Linked DNA regions of Schizosaccharomyces pombe. The protein of the gene in region 1 interacts with the protein of each later gene in a biochemical or structural test. Each region holds a gene or a part of one and is shown on either strand. Other genes may lie near its edges.

Region 1 (8,312 bases):
AAATGCACAAACCTTCGCTAACCTTGTGAGAGTGGAGATAGCAAAATTTTTTCTTTTATGCCGAGGAGATGCTAATTATGCTGCTATGAAGTCGGTCAAGAGTAAATCTGGTCCTTATATGACGCAAGCTAGATCTAGATTAATGCTATAGGCATACGAAACTTTGGTATTAAAAAAAAAAAAAAAAAAAAAAAAAAAAAAAAAAACTAACTCAGTATAACAATATTGACAATAATAATATACCGAACCTGTGGTGTTTTTCCAGACTTGGCATCATAATAATTGGCCTAATTTTTCTGCAGGTCAAAGGTGCTTTTGGGAAGGGAAGTTCCATTTTCTCTCAATAGGCCACGAACTCGGTCTTTCAATTCCCTGCATTTTTGTATCCGCTATCGCTAATGTGGGTCCAGTAACAAGGGAGTGTGATTTTAGAGTCAGTTAGATGGAAAAGCTATCATTTACTGCCTAAAAGCAGTTCGAAATCTCGGATCTACGAACTAAGAAGCCGAACGGCTCATTCGCGTTATCAACGGGTATCTATGTATATAGACGGATCGTTACCCGTGATTATCAATAAACGGATCTTAGCTAGTATTCCAACATATGACATATAGTGATACGCAACGTAGTGTATCATAGCGTAGAGTAGTATTGCTGACAACTAAAGTATTTTGCGAGCGTGCGGTACAACTCTGTAATCATAAGAAATCAACTCGCAATATTAGTCTCAATTGTACACTCTCCAACAACCCACATATCGAAATGGAACAGAAACCGGAAGTTGATTACTCAGAGAAGTTTGCAGAGTTACAAAAAAGTTTAAATAACCTTAATACCATAGACATCGTACGTAAAAATCAAAATTTTGACTAATCTCTAACTTGTAATTGTAGGATGCGAACCTCGAGAAGCTTTTGATTTTTGAGAAGCAAGTTCGTCAGGCTTCTGACACCAGCACGAATACGAAAGTATTAATATACATTGCTGATTTGCTCTTTCGAGCTGGTGATTTCCAAGGCTTAAACGAACAGTTGGTTAGTCTCTTTAAAAAGCATGGCCAACTGAAACAATCGATGACAAGTTTAGTCCAACATGTAATGACCTATCTTCCTGGAATTGACGATTTAAAAACAAAAATTAATTTGATTGAAACATTGCGTACTATTACTGATGGAAAGATATATGTGGAAGTAGAAAGGGCACGTCTTACACAACTGCTTTCCCAGATTAAAGAAGAGCAAGGTGACATCAAATCTGCCCAGGAGATCTTGTGTAATGAACCAGTAGAGACTTACGGATCTTTTGATTTGAAGGAAAAAGTTGCATTCATTTTGGATCAAGTTAGATTATTCTTACTGAGGTCTGATTACTACATGGCATCTACTTACACGAAGAAAATAAATGTTAAGTTTTTTGAAAAGGAAGACGTCCAGTCTTTAAAACTTAAGTATTATGAGCAAAAAATCCGAATTGGTTTGCACGACGATGCATATCTTGATGTTTGTAAATATTATCGAGCAGTTTATGACACCGCCGTGGTTCAAGAGGACCCCGAGAAATGGAAAGAAATATTAGAAAATGTCGTTTGCTTTGCCTTGCTTACTCCTTATGATAACGAGCAGGCAGATCTTCTTCACCGAATTAATGCTGACCATAAACTAAATTCTCTTCCTTTACTCCAACAATTGGTTAAGTGCTTTATTGTCAATGAACTAATGAGATGGCCCAAAATTGCCGAAATCTATGGAAGTGCTTTAAGGAGTAATCCTGTTTTTGCTGAAAATGACGAAAAAGGTGAGAAACGTTGGTCTGAACTTCGTAAGCGAGTCATCGAACACAATATTCGTGTAGTCGCAAACTATTATTCCCGCATTCATTGCAGTCGTCTAGGAGTGTTGTTGGATATGAGTCCTTCCGAAACAGAACAATTTCTTTGCGACCTTATTGCAAAGCATCATTTCTATGCCAAGATTGATCGCCCAGCTCAAGTCATTTCATTCAAGAAATCTCAAAATGTGCAAGAGCAATTGAATGAGTGGGGTTCCAATATTACTGAACTTCTTGGAAAATTGGAAAAGGTAAGACAGCTTATTATAAAAGAAGAAATGATGAATTCTATTCAACAGGCGGTAGCCAAATAAATTGTTCCGTCTCTATTTCATTTCGTTACTTTCATGACTTTGTCATTTAAATAATATACTATTGGTTCAAAGGCCTTCAACTTTTTTTACGAGAATACAATAGTTTTAATGTCGAATTGCAACCTCGGAGAAAGTTATTCTAGTAAGTTTGTAGTGATTTTCGTTGTTATTTGTCTCGTAACTAGAAGGTTAACTTGATGAATTATTTTAAATAAATTATTGTAGTTCACTCAATATGTAGTCCCTTAATTTTTATTTCAGTTGAGTTTAGTTAAAAGATTGCCATTGGTATCATATCTGGCCTCAAAAAAAGTATAGCTTAGAAGAATATCGTCAATATCCTTCATATTTGGATCATCAGCAAATTCTGGATCTATAAAGAAAAACACAGGCAAGTCTACTTTTTCATGAGCATCTAGCTTTTGCTCTTCAAAGCAAAAGCATGCAACCTTTGAGAAGTAAACAGCGGCTTGACCTGGTACTATATTATAAGTTGCAACTCCTACTATGTCATGGTCGGACGTATTTTCAGCAGTATAAAACCCTAGAGCAGTCTCGCCTGGAAGAACATATATTTCACGCTGCTGGGGCCAAAGCTTCCAGCTAAGGTTTCCTGCAACGTCGCCATTGAAAGTAACTCTGATTCTTTTATTGTCTTTACGAGGAACCATTCTTTCTGCATTCATACGACTTTGGTCGGTATTAAGAGTGCCACCATAACCTGTTTTCGAACAGAAAAGACGATATAAAGGTACAGCCGCATATGTCAAGCCCAACGCAAAAATGGAAATTGCAACCAGATAATAGATAGTGGTCCTTTGATTATAGTGGAATTTATCTCTCGAATATTGTCGTGAAATATTCCTGGTACCAGAGATGCAATTGTAACAGCTAAATGAAGTAAAAATACAAGGGAAACGATGTGAATTAAAGTCTGCAAATCGAGAAAAAGCTTTATGACGATTAGTCGAATAGAATCGTTTTCCGACAAAAATAGGATCTGCAGTTGTATTTCTTTCAACTTTGGGTTTATTATATGAGGGGGGATTGATTGAATAGGTAGAAGAAGCATCTTTTAAATGTTTAGTAATTTTACTACTTGGAGAAGTACTTTGAACTTTGCCCTCTAACGGAAACAAGTCGCCCCAAGCACTTTTCCTAGCTAATCGATAAGCTAGTTTACCTTGTGATTTAGGAACAATATTCCTTCTAAGCCGAGCATCGCTATCACAGACATCAATTATGACATGTCCATCTCGCTTCAGTGGAGGTCGAATTATACGTGGCCAGTTTTTAAGAGTTGGAGATGTAACATTCACATTTTCTAGTAAATCCTCATCATTCTTGAACCTTTGTGTGGTATTATTAAGCGGTCTAGTTATACCCTTTTGAATAACAACATAACTGTAATGAGAGCGATCCGAGGATCGACGATGAGAACGAGGGACATATAGACGGGAAAATGGGGATAGGAAAAAATGTTGTTTGAAAGAACAAATATTTGCTCTTACCCCATTTTCTATATCAATGGGGCAGCGACCATCGTGGGGACAGGGTGCTACAATATGGGCATTGAATTGTTTATCAGAAGTATTTTTACTTTTTTGCAATAGAAATGTTCTAGCTCTTTGAATCAAACTAAAGCCACGCTTTGTGCCTCGCTCGCAGAGCACCAAAAGACCACCATCATTTGACACGAGACTCCAAAGCGAACGAAGATAATCAAAGAGTTCTTTCTCCGATTTCATTTCAAGAAGCTTGTTAGATGCAATAACTAGAGTGTATGAATCCTTTTTACCCAATGGTAGACGGTTAAGCGTAACAGGGCTAGTTGGATTCGGCGAAGTTGACGGGTAAATGTTATGGTGAATATCATATATGATTTTTTTCAAAAATGGGTTCTCCTCAACAATTGAAACTGAATTAGGTGTGGGAAAGACTGAATAACTAGCTAGAGCACCAATACCTGGACCTTTACCGCAATCCAGTATATGTTGAGACTTGCAAGACACATCACTGTTTACAATTTTCAAGTCAGTCAATACGCTGTATAGAGAAGCATATTGATACGGCATAGACTGATGAATATAAGCTAAAACTTGGGGATCTGTCATAGTCCGAGTAGATTCATCTTTGAATGGCGCAGACAATGGAAGCTGAGATTCCGTAGCCAAATCTTTTTTAATATCATTAATAAATTTTTTAATTTGTCCTTTTTCGCTCTTTTTCAATAAATCGTCCACATATAGATTAAATTTTGTATGCAAACTAATATCACCACTTTTCTTTTGATCCTTTACCAAAAAGTCGAGTAAACTGGAAGCTTCTGGACGATGTGAAGAGATCAATTCGTTTTTATAATCAGAAAAGTTGTTTTGAACAGCTTGAAAATTTGCATTATACCACCTAATGGTAGTGGTTGTTCCATATGGTATGAGACATCGCTGATTTTGAAAAGTAAAGCAATTCCGTAAATTATAAAGAAACAGAATTTTATATCTGCATGTTAGAATGGGCATATGTGCTGCTCAAAACACCAATTCACCAATGAACAATGGGATTTGGGGATAAAGCACTGATCTGTATATTGTGTAGAGTAAGTGCCTGATTAAGTGGCCGCAGATGGTGTTACTTGCGTTGACAGAAGAATGAATAGTACAATTTCCTACATATCTATATGTTTTATGTTTATTAAATTAGTTCAAGGATAGGCAATTCTGTCTGAGTGAATATTCTCCCAGTTTTAGCTTCTTATACACTTCAAAAAAATGCAAAACTTTGAACTTCTTTGAAAATAAGAACAAGTAATAAATTTTATGATAGTAAAGGAATTATCAAGAAATAGCTAAAATTAGTTTTAGCATTACACTTGATCAAGATAGACTCTTCACATTGATAGTTCTACAGATACCTCTTTAACCTTACCATTCTATTATACTAGGGTAATCTTCGATTTACGAAACATTCCTTGTTAACTAACTACAAACGAAAAGTTGCCGGAAAAAAACAGCCTACATTCCTTGAGTATTTTCATGAAAATTCGGTAATTCTTTTCCATTTGGTTTATATGAGAAGTTTGCAATTGTACAATAATAATTCAAAATGCCCTCGAAAAGAAAAAGAAATCCTTTACAATATCAGACTTCAGGATCATTAGATGAGGAAACAAATCAACGCAGCGCTTTTCCACAAATCGACAACAATAGTGCTTCAGAATCTTTGGAATATGATATACCACTTGATGGTTTAGATTATTTAGCAACTGTGAGGTACGAACATTTATATATGAATTTTTGTGAAAATCGAAATTTGCAACATGAATGCTTTAATCTAATCATTGTAACAATAATTGGGCTTTTTACTGACAAGTTCAGAGAAGAAGCTCGCAAGCTAGTTCCATTTGTAGCGGCGCGTCGTGAGCCTGAAACAAGAGAAACCATTCCTCTTCGCAAATTGGAAATCGAGGCCGGCAAAAAAAGCTTTGACCCGTTTTTACGATACTTACTAAACATAATTGATAAAGAAGGGGAAAGGCTTGAGCAATATATGGAATCTTCTTCATTGGACGCATCTATTTTACCTAAAAATTTACAACAATGGCGTGTATATATTGAGCATAAAGCTCCTTGTTGGGCCATATTAGCAGTGGTTGATTTGGCAACTGTTTTGGAGATCCTAGAAAGCTTGTCCAGCTGGCTTGAAAAGGACGCAATTGATTTACAGGTTGGTAACAAGGATCTCATGCTACTTTGCTGGTGTATTTTTGTTCATTCTAAAATTTGCTAACATTTTTCTAGAGTCAATGGATTTTTTGCTTTTGTTATAAACTTCCTGAGCTTTTGAATGGAGAAGATATATCGACCCTACGTTCAGTACTCAAGTCTTTACGAAGTACGCATACTTCTTTTCCTGCTCTGCAGATGTCAGCATCTGCCCTTCAAGCAGTCTTAGTTTATCGATATGGACAAAAAGATCTCTTTCAAACATAGAGTCTATAAATCTTGGTCGAAAAAAATTTAGGTACACATGTTCATATAGCATACGTTTGTTTATAGGGAAAAAATTAAAATTGATAGCTTGTTTTAAATATGTTTTTAGGATATTATTACTTTTTTGAATGAAAACATATGCTACACGGATATGCTGGGCTTTGCATCTTTGAACATGTGATTAAGCAAGCTTGGAGATAGCTGCAATAAACAATTTGCCTATTACAAATCGATAGATATATTTTAAAAAAACACGTTTGAATTGAGATAGGCAAAGTTATTTGTTTATTGATTCACATTTTCATTTTACAAAAAATGGCTTACTATTTGTTTAGTACGTGCATTCGTTTTGCTGTCTGCATACTTGTCGAATCGAGGGTTTCAATTATGTTATTACATGATAACTAGCAACTTTCTTTAATTCGCGCCCCATCTTACGAAATTAACTAATAAATTTTTACTGTCTTTTTCGACCGAGTGATTTTTTACCCATATGAGGTTTTTCAAATTCAAAACTAATTGAACATTGCAATTATTCTTTGGGAAAAAACAAAAGTCAAATAAAGATAAAATAAAAAAGAAATAATTACAACCTCACTGCCAAGAACCCCTTCGTGGTTAATTGAATCTTTTGAGTTCGAGCAATCAAGCTCCTTTTGTAAAACTAAATGTCACTAAAATTGCTCACACTTCAGTATAGCAGTCTAAATGGAGAGCTCAATTTTTTCCTTGCTGATAAGCGGACTCTGATCTCGCTACGTGAATACTTTCTTTCCTTCGACTAAACGTCAACTTGTCGAGACTTTGATGAAATAGTGGCAGTTAAAGCCAGAAAGCTACTGAATGTTAATTCATTTCTTCTATAGTTGCCATGTACTAAGAATCACGCCTAAAGCAATTTTCCCTAATAAATTCCGATGCTAAACATCCCTTAAATTACAAAGTTTTGTCAAACGATGGAGCAATCGTCGCTTAAAAAGCGCAATTTCAAAGGCATGCATTTCAACTTGCTTTGACCATGCTCTCCCAAATTTTGAACGAATATTTATTTATTAAAAAATTTACGCTACTTGAGCTATTCAGAACAATCAATAATACATATCTAATACATTTCTCTTGCTTTTCAACTATATAACGAGGCTTTCCTTCTCGTTATTAAACTTATCGCAAACTACGATAGGAAAATAAGATTATTTGAGAATTATTTTTCACTATACGATATAGCACACATTACGCCGTTTGGATATTGAATGTGTTTACGCTTAAAAAAGTTTATCCTTTGCAACTAACATTGTAATTGTGGTAAACGGGTTTGTTTGAAGTGACGGACAATGGGAAGAGTTGCCAGAAAAAGAAAGCATCATAGCAATGGAAATCATGCTTTGTTTAGAACTCGTGTTTATGGGAGGTATGCAAATTTCATGGTCATTCAATCATCGTTTGGTAAATTAACAATTGGACAAATAGAGACTTAGATCAGATTCACAATGACTTAACAGAGTCTGAGAAATTTGATAAATTACCTATAGATCCGGATTTGCCAGGTTTAGGTCAACATTATTGCATTGAATGTGCACGGTACTTTGACTCGTCTCAAGCATTGCTGGTGCATAAGAAGGGAAAGGTTCACAAACGAAGGTTAAAAAATTTGCGTGAAGAGCCGTATACACAAGAAGAAGCAGAAGCTGCGGTGAATATTGGACAGCCAAAACAGAGTGTAGCTTCCAAGCTTGCTGACAATAGTAACGTTGTCATGGCGGACTAAACTAGAGACACATTTACGAATGCTAAGTTAGTCAGCACTTTTGCTTTTGTTCCATATTCGTAGCGCATGCTCTTTATTTAAACAGATTTTTATATGTCTCATTCTCATTTATTCTGCTATATTATCATTAGCAGCGTTTATTGGTAATTTTAGTTGCATCCATGTTTGGATTACAAATTTACAACTAATACCTTACCATTGGTTACTGGATGTTAATCTAGCTTCAAGAGTGAGCATCTCAAACTACCTTCACGTTATTTTGGTTTCTTTGGATACATGGTGTTTTAAATAAATAAAATTTTTTTGATAATTTTTTCATAACGCATTCGCTATCATTTAACAAAATCCTCGTAAAAAAACAAATTCATCAAAGAACGTTTCATTAGACGCATAGATTCATTTCCTATAATGAACTTT
Region 2 (6,595 bases), 450 kb from region 1:
GTCAAAGATATTCAACTAATTTTATCAGTGTCACAAAAATACGGAGATAAAATTCATCGATTTCTACTGGCCGGATTTTTCTATCTGGAAGTTTTTCCCAATGTTAATTCAATACCAGTTACAAAACCAACCAGCATAATTTATTCAATCCTTCGTTACTTATTTACTTTTGATAGGCTTTGGCTGTTAATTTTACATTGTATACATTTAATATGTGTTAGTAGCTGATGTAAATAGTTAGACACTACTCTAATTATGTCTTCTTAAATATTGTTAAAATGAAACTTTCTACGGTCTTGATCCGGAAAAATTAATAACTTCCAAATATGCTTGATCATCACGCTGCACTGCAGCCACACAACGCATAGCATCAAAATCGACATGCCATATTTTTGTGAGGTCTGTTAATAGAAAACGTAACAGCTTTCCAGTCCTAACATCCCATAACTTTACAGAACCATCATTACCACTAATAATTTTGTGTTCATCTGACACAAAGCTACTAATGTAGCCTGAATTAGACGGCAAAACCATTAATGGTTTCCCAGTATTCAAATCCCATATTCTAATTGTGGAGTCAGCAGAACCTGATATCAACCTATTCTGGAATACATTAAGAAGCGTAACAAAGGCATCATGGCCTTCAAGCACATATTTACAAGTCCCTGTCGATAAATCCCAAACCCTAATGGACTTATCCATGCTACCGCTTATGCAAATATTCCTTTCTGGTTCATATAAAACACTATATATACGAAGACTATGACCCCGCAGATGGTAAAGACATTCCCCTGTTGAAACTCTCCAAATGCGAATTGAAGAATCATAACTCCCACTCACAAGTATATCACCATAGCCGGATATAGTTCGTACAGAGTCTGTATGTCCTATCAAAGTATGTACAAAATACGGGTTCTTCTCCCAACGGTCAATAGAGTTTGTATTATCTGGAAGATAAGGAGGATCCGTGTTTTTTGGAAGCTTCCAAACCCGAAGTGTATGATCCCGAGAGCCGCTGACAATGTACGGTTGATCTGGTTCAACAATTTCAACTCCATGGCGAATAAGACGACTCGGAACTAAGATCTCTAAGCATCTGATGATGGAAATATGTCCCCTAAATATGTGCGTACATTTAGCTTTCTCTATGTTCCAAACGCGAACAGTTTTATCGATCGAACCAGATACAAGTGTATTCTCATGTATTTTGACAGCCCAAACACCTTCTTTATGACCCTCTAATCGAGCTTCTAAAACACCGGTAATAGCATTATGAATTTGAATTGTTCCAGATCCCGAAGTGGTGATTATTCTGTCTTTATGAAGTAGTAAAGAAGTTATCATAAAGTTTGGAACATGAATGGGAAAAGATAGATGACTTGGAGGTATCGAAGGAAATAACCATCGTTTTCTATTGAGAAAATGTCTTTTGAAAATTTCCGGAAAATAGTCATCTGAGATTTGGTCGTTGTGCAAAAAAGGTGGACGATTTAAGTTTGGATTAGCATATTTCCAGTCATTTTCATTGATTTGAAAGCCAAATAAACTAAACATGTGTTTCCAGTATGAAGTATGCACATCAAGTATTCTATTCCAAGTAGGCGAAACAAGACGGCAAGAAAGAAAAGAATGTATATCCAGATTTAATAATATAGACTGAACAATGGAAAAAGGAAGATTTGAAAGTATATCTTTTTTTAGAAGCGGCTCGCATTCATTCAATAATAAACGCATCGATTGCCGATTGCACGAACGGAGTAGTTGAAAAAACGCATAAGATTGAATTCCTTCTGGAAGATCCTCAAAAGTTTGAACAATTGACTGTAAGTTTAAATCTTCAAGATCCTCAGAGATAGGTTTACTACCAGGTGAAACAGTGTTTGATGTGTCGACTTTCGGAGAAGGAGGGAAATTGTCGGAGTTAGATGAAATGCTATTATCTAACTTAATTCGATTGTTTCTATCAATTGATATAATTTTAGGTGGAAGAGAAGAATGAGAATATAGAAAATTCCTTTGAGGAACAAGGGAAATGGAAAAATCGCCAGGAACACTATCTGGCGGTGAGTGGTCTAAGCATTTATAAGAGACATTCTCTATACTTTCATTAAACTTTCGAAGAAAAGAAGGCGTACAAGAATGCTTTAATGGGTACTGATACGAATCAGTGCACGGCAGGGAAGAACTCGTATTGCCATTACAACTATTTGATTCTGAGCGAGGATCCGATGCAATTTGATCATCTTGAGGAAGCAGGTTATCCCCATGAATAAGTGAAGAAGGAAATACTTGAGGATCAAATGATTCTGGAGGTGTAGCAGGGCTGCTGCTATTTATTAAAGGAACAGAGGAATTTATACGGGAGGACGAATTGTCAGTTGGACACCTAGAGAGTGACATGCGTAGATGCAATGATTGTGATTTTTCGTTGAAATAAATAAGAAGTCAAAAATGAGCTTTAAGGAAAACAGTCGATAAAACAATCTGAAAATAAATTGGAAAAGAGACCAATGAAAAAGTTACTGACAGATTGGAAAGAAGAAACAACACCGTTATGGTTTGTTTCTACAGATTAATCAAAAACTGGCATATGCCGAAATTAGATACAGATTAAAAAGTGCGGGCATAAAGAGAAAATGAATAATGGAAAGGTTTTTTTATAAGTAATCTTTTAATTGAAAAAATAACAGAAGCTCAATATGCGTTGTTCATACCATACAGAATCTTTGTGTGTGGTAGGAGGCAAGTTCTGGCGGAGAATTTGTAAACAAAAGTTCGTACAATGCGAATGCAAAACTTGTAATAAAAAGATACATGAATTGATACTTTTTAAGTAAATAAATATAAAGCGGTACCTAAAACAGGAAACATGGATTAAGAAAATTGAGTAGAAGTTATATGATACAGATTAGCGTAAGCAGCGTTTTCAAACAAAATATATGCATTTTTTATTTTTCTGAGCTAGAATTTGATGTTCGTTGATAAATAAAATAAGTTTTATGGAAGTTAATACGAAAACTGATTGTAAATCCCATTGCTGGTATATTGTTAGCAAAAAAAACCATAATGGCCTAAGTATCAGTTTCATAAATTCAAAAACAACTAAAAATTTGGGTTCGAATGAAAAACATACTTGATTTACGTCTGCTACGGAAGCTATACTCATCTTGTAATTCCACGCCTCTCATACAGCTACCGAAAATTGCTACTACTTTTTGACCTGAACATAAACCGTGTTTTAAAAAGTTTGGTTTTTATTAATGTTTTTTTTATCTTTTTTGTTTTCTCACATTATTTGAATAATTAATGAAATGGATTCTCACACAACAGAAAAGCGTAGAGGTTCTTACCTGCGCGTCCTGTTTAAGAATGGACGTTTACCAGTAGAAGGATTTCTTTGGAACTGTGATCCCTTGACTGGAACATTAATTTTGATTCAACCTCTTACTCCCAATACAGACGAGGTTGAAGATACTCATTATCGTTTTTATGGTATAATGTCGGATGCTATTCAGACCATTGAACCCGACGAAAGTATGTCTCCTCTTAATCAACAATCGCTAGCAGAATATGATTCTCTATTAACTTCATGATGCGAATTGCATTCAGCGTTTGAAATATATGATTTGAATCTACAATTCTGATGGATAATTCGCTTCTTTTGCGAGGGAAATGTTTTCCTTCCTTTATCGTAAATTAACTATATAAAATATTGTTATACTGAATTGACTTCGACGAATCACTTCAACGCCTTTTTTGCAACCTGAGCGGAGCGGAGTGATATCATCGGACTACAGTAACTGGTATATAGTTGCTACATTCTTTACTTCTCCCAATACCAACATCGTTCTCTTCAAAATGGCTTTTAACTACTCAATTGCCAATACCGTTGATGATGCTGCTCAAAGCATTGCTGAAAATACGAGTTCTTTAGCCACGTTTTCAAAACCGCCTTTGGTCATTGCTCATAGAGGGTATGTTTTATGAATGTATTAGTTGCATACTGCTTTTATTATTAGTAGACTTAGTTTCATATCTGCAACTTTGTACCCTTAATTGTCAAAATCCTTCTCCAATTTAGCAAATGTTTAACTTATGTTTACAGATACAAAGCTAAGTATCCTGAAAATACTATACTAGCATTTCAACAAGCCGTAAAGGCTGGTGCTGACTGCGTTGAAACAGATGTTCGACTAACTAAAGATGAAGTGGTTTGCATTTTGCATGATAGAAATCTTAACAGAGTATTCGGTGTTGATGTTGATGTTCGAGATCTTGATTATGAATTGGATAATGGTCATTTTCGTACCATTCAAGAGCCTCACGAGCCGTTACCTACCTATGAACAATTTTTGCATGAATTAACCAAGCATCCTGGCGTCAATCTACTTGTTGACATTAAGCCAGTAAACGATTTGTTAATTATTCCCAGAATGGTTGATGCAATGCTTCGGGTTAATTCTGATTTAGACTTTTGGAAAGACAAAGTATCGTTTTGTTTATGGTCACATAGGTTCATCCCTGCTTGTGATCGATATGCCCCATCAATTCCGTTATATCATATTGGATTCAACTTCGCTTATGCTGAAAGACATTTTGTTATGCATCCCAGAGTAAAGGGTGTCAGTATGGCTGTTGCTCTGTTTTTACTTCCTCATTCTCAGGATTTTGTTGATCTCGTTCATGCCCAAGGTAAACAAGTCTTTGCATGGACTTTAAACACACCTTCTTCTATCTATCTTGCTTTAATTAGAGGCTGTGACGGACTTTTATCTGATGATCCGGTGATGGCTAGAGCTCTTTCCCAAGGCCCAATTGTTACCAAATCTTGGCATTATTTCCATTATTCCGAGTGGCTTCATATGATTTATGGTTTCTTACGAGCACAATTTGTCTTCTTTTTATTGAGAACCTTTGTGTTGTAAGTATGTTATTCTAAATATGGAAAATACATATATTATGATTGATGAATACTAGAATTCCGGTTTTAGTGATTGAGCATTTTTGTTGCTCTTCCATTTGTTTAAATCCCATCTCCCAATTTTTTCTTATTTGCTTGAGAGTTTACGCTCTATCTTTTTGTATTATTGCAATCGCTCACTAAAGATTTTTGTCATTAGGACAGCCACGTTGAAGCAGAAAAAAGAGAAATTCGCAAACATACGTGGCATTTCAATTGATAAAAAAGTTTTTTTCTATCGTTTTTTTCGTTTCAAAAATATACTTATTTACAATAAATAACATAACTTGGCAAGGCATTATGCCGTCCTAAATAATTTGCATTTAGTACGGAACAAGCGTATTCTGCAGTAGTAGTTTAATCATTGATACTCTTATTATCTTATGAAAACTAATATTTAAGAACTAGTTAACACTTTTAATAGTTTGAGTCAGTATATTAACAAAAGAGCCTTGATTCATCAACAATAGATGCTACCAGTTAACTATTAATATAAATTCGTCTATAAGAAGTTCAATGAGATTTTCTAATTAAAAAAAAAAAAACGTACTTAATTCGAAGCATGCTTCTAGCTTAAATTATCAAACAAATTACAAAGAAATGAATTTTATTTTTTTAGGGATATAATCAATGGTTAATTTTCAAAGAAAAAATTATGATCTGGTTCGTGGTGTGCAGAGTGGTAGTATACGTACCCATCCATTCATACTATAATACTTTCATAGCTGCATAGCTACAACATCAAATATCATACATGTCAAAATGACAGATTTGGAGATAGAAACCGTTAGTAGGGTTTCTAGTAATCCTGATGAAGTAAAAGGATCGTCTGTTGTCGAAGAAGAACCGGATAGTGAATCAACAATCAAAAGTCGAGTTTCTGATGAAATAGATGAACATGATTCCATACCTGAACAGTCTAATACTGAAAAAAGTATAGAAATTAACGATAAAAACTTAGAAGCGGAAAAAGATATTGAAAGCAATCTATCTCTAAGACCTCCAGAAGATGACTTAGATTCACGTTCGATTGAAAGTGAACAAACAGGTACTCTGAGCAAACAGACTACATCTACTTCTGAAGCTCCACAAGATCTAAAGATTTGGAAGAATATTTCAAACGCCTCTAACCAAAACTCTGGCAAACTCAATCCTCAACTCTTCGTAATTGAGGCTTTTAAGCATATGTCAAAAGCAAAGGCTACAAAACGGCATAAGAAGCTTAGGGAGGCTATCAATAATGTCCAAATAGAATTACAAAAGCAGCCATTTCTTCTTCCCGAAGTCATTTTGGAACCTTTGGTAATGGCTTGTCAAACAAATAGTACAACGTTGCTGACTATTACTTTGGATTGCTTTGCCAAGCTGATTGATTACAATTATTTTGATTCCCCAACATTAAATCCATCGGATATTACCTTAATGGAACGTGTGGTTAACACTATTGCATCCTGTTTTTGCGGTGAGTCTACTCCAGAAAGAGTGCAGCTACAAATTGTAAAGGCTTTATTGGCAGCTATTACTTCTGAAAGGACAATCATTAGACATTCGTTTTTACTTACAGCAGTGAGGCAAACTTACAATATTTTCCTCTTATGTAAAGACTCAACTACCCAAGCCATTGCTCAGGTAGCT

The links.
Region 2: the proteins of yip11 (region 1) and gem6 form a complex in vitro, tested with the Schizosaccharomyces pombe proteins (one study listed by BioGRID).

Annotation. Positions count from the first base shown.
Region 1 is NC_003424.3:4,903,326-4,911,637, reverse strand, and holds yip11 (SMN complex subunit Yip11/Gem2), read left to right. Parts: upstream 1-5,243; coding exon 5,244-5,410; exon of another isoform or gene 5,411-5,515; coding exon 5,516-5,864; exon of another isoform or gene 5,865-5,938; coding exon 5,939-6,130; 3' UTR 6,131-7,417; downstream 7,418-8,312. Other genes in the region: 19S proteasome regulatory subunit Rpn502, read left to right, coding at 763-846, 894-2,141; rsm22-cox11 tandem protein cox1102, read right to left, coding at 2,399-4,660; bud20 (zinc finger ribosome biogenesis protein), read left to right, coding at 7,462-7,538, 7,598-7,895. UniProt on the Schizosaccharomyces pombe protein: The SMN complex catalyzes the assembly of small nuclear ribonucleoproteins (snRNPs), the building blocks of the spliceosome, and thereby plays an important role in the splicing of cellular pre-mRNAs.
Region 2 is NC_003424.3:5,350,936-5,357,530, reverse strand, and holds gem6 (SMN complex subunit Gem6), read left to right. Parts: upstream 1-3,217; 5' UTR 3,218-3,311; coding exon 3,312-3,593; downstream 3,594-6,595. Other genes in the region: rer2 (cis-prenyltransferase), read left to right, coding at 29-139; F-box/WD repeat protein Pop2, read right to left, coding at 289-2,400; pgc1 (glycerophosphoryl diester phosphodiesterase), read left to right, coding at 3,859-3,974, 4,106-4,925; Sec7 domain-containing protein sec71, read left to right, coding at 5,723-6,595.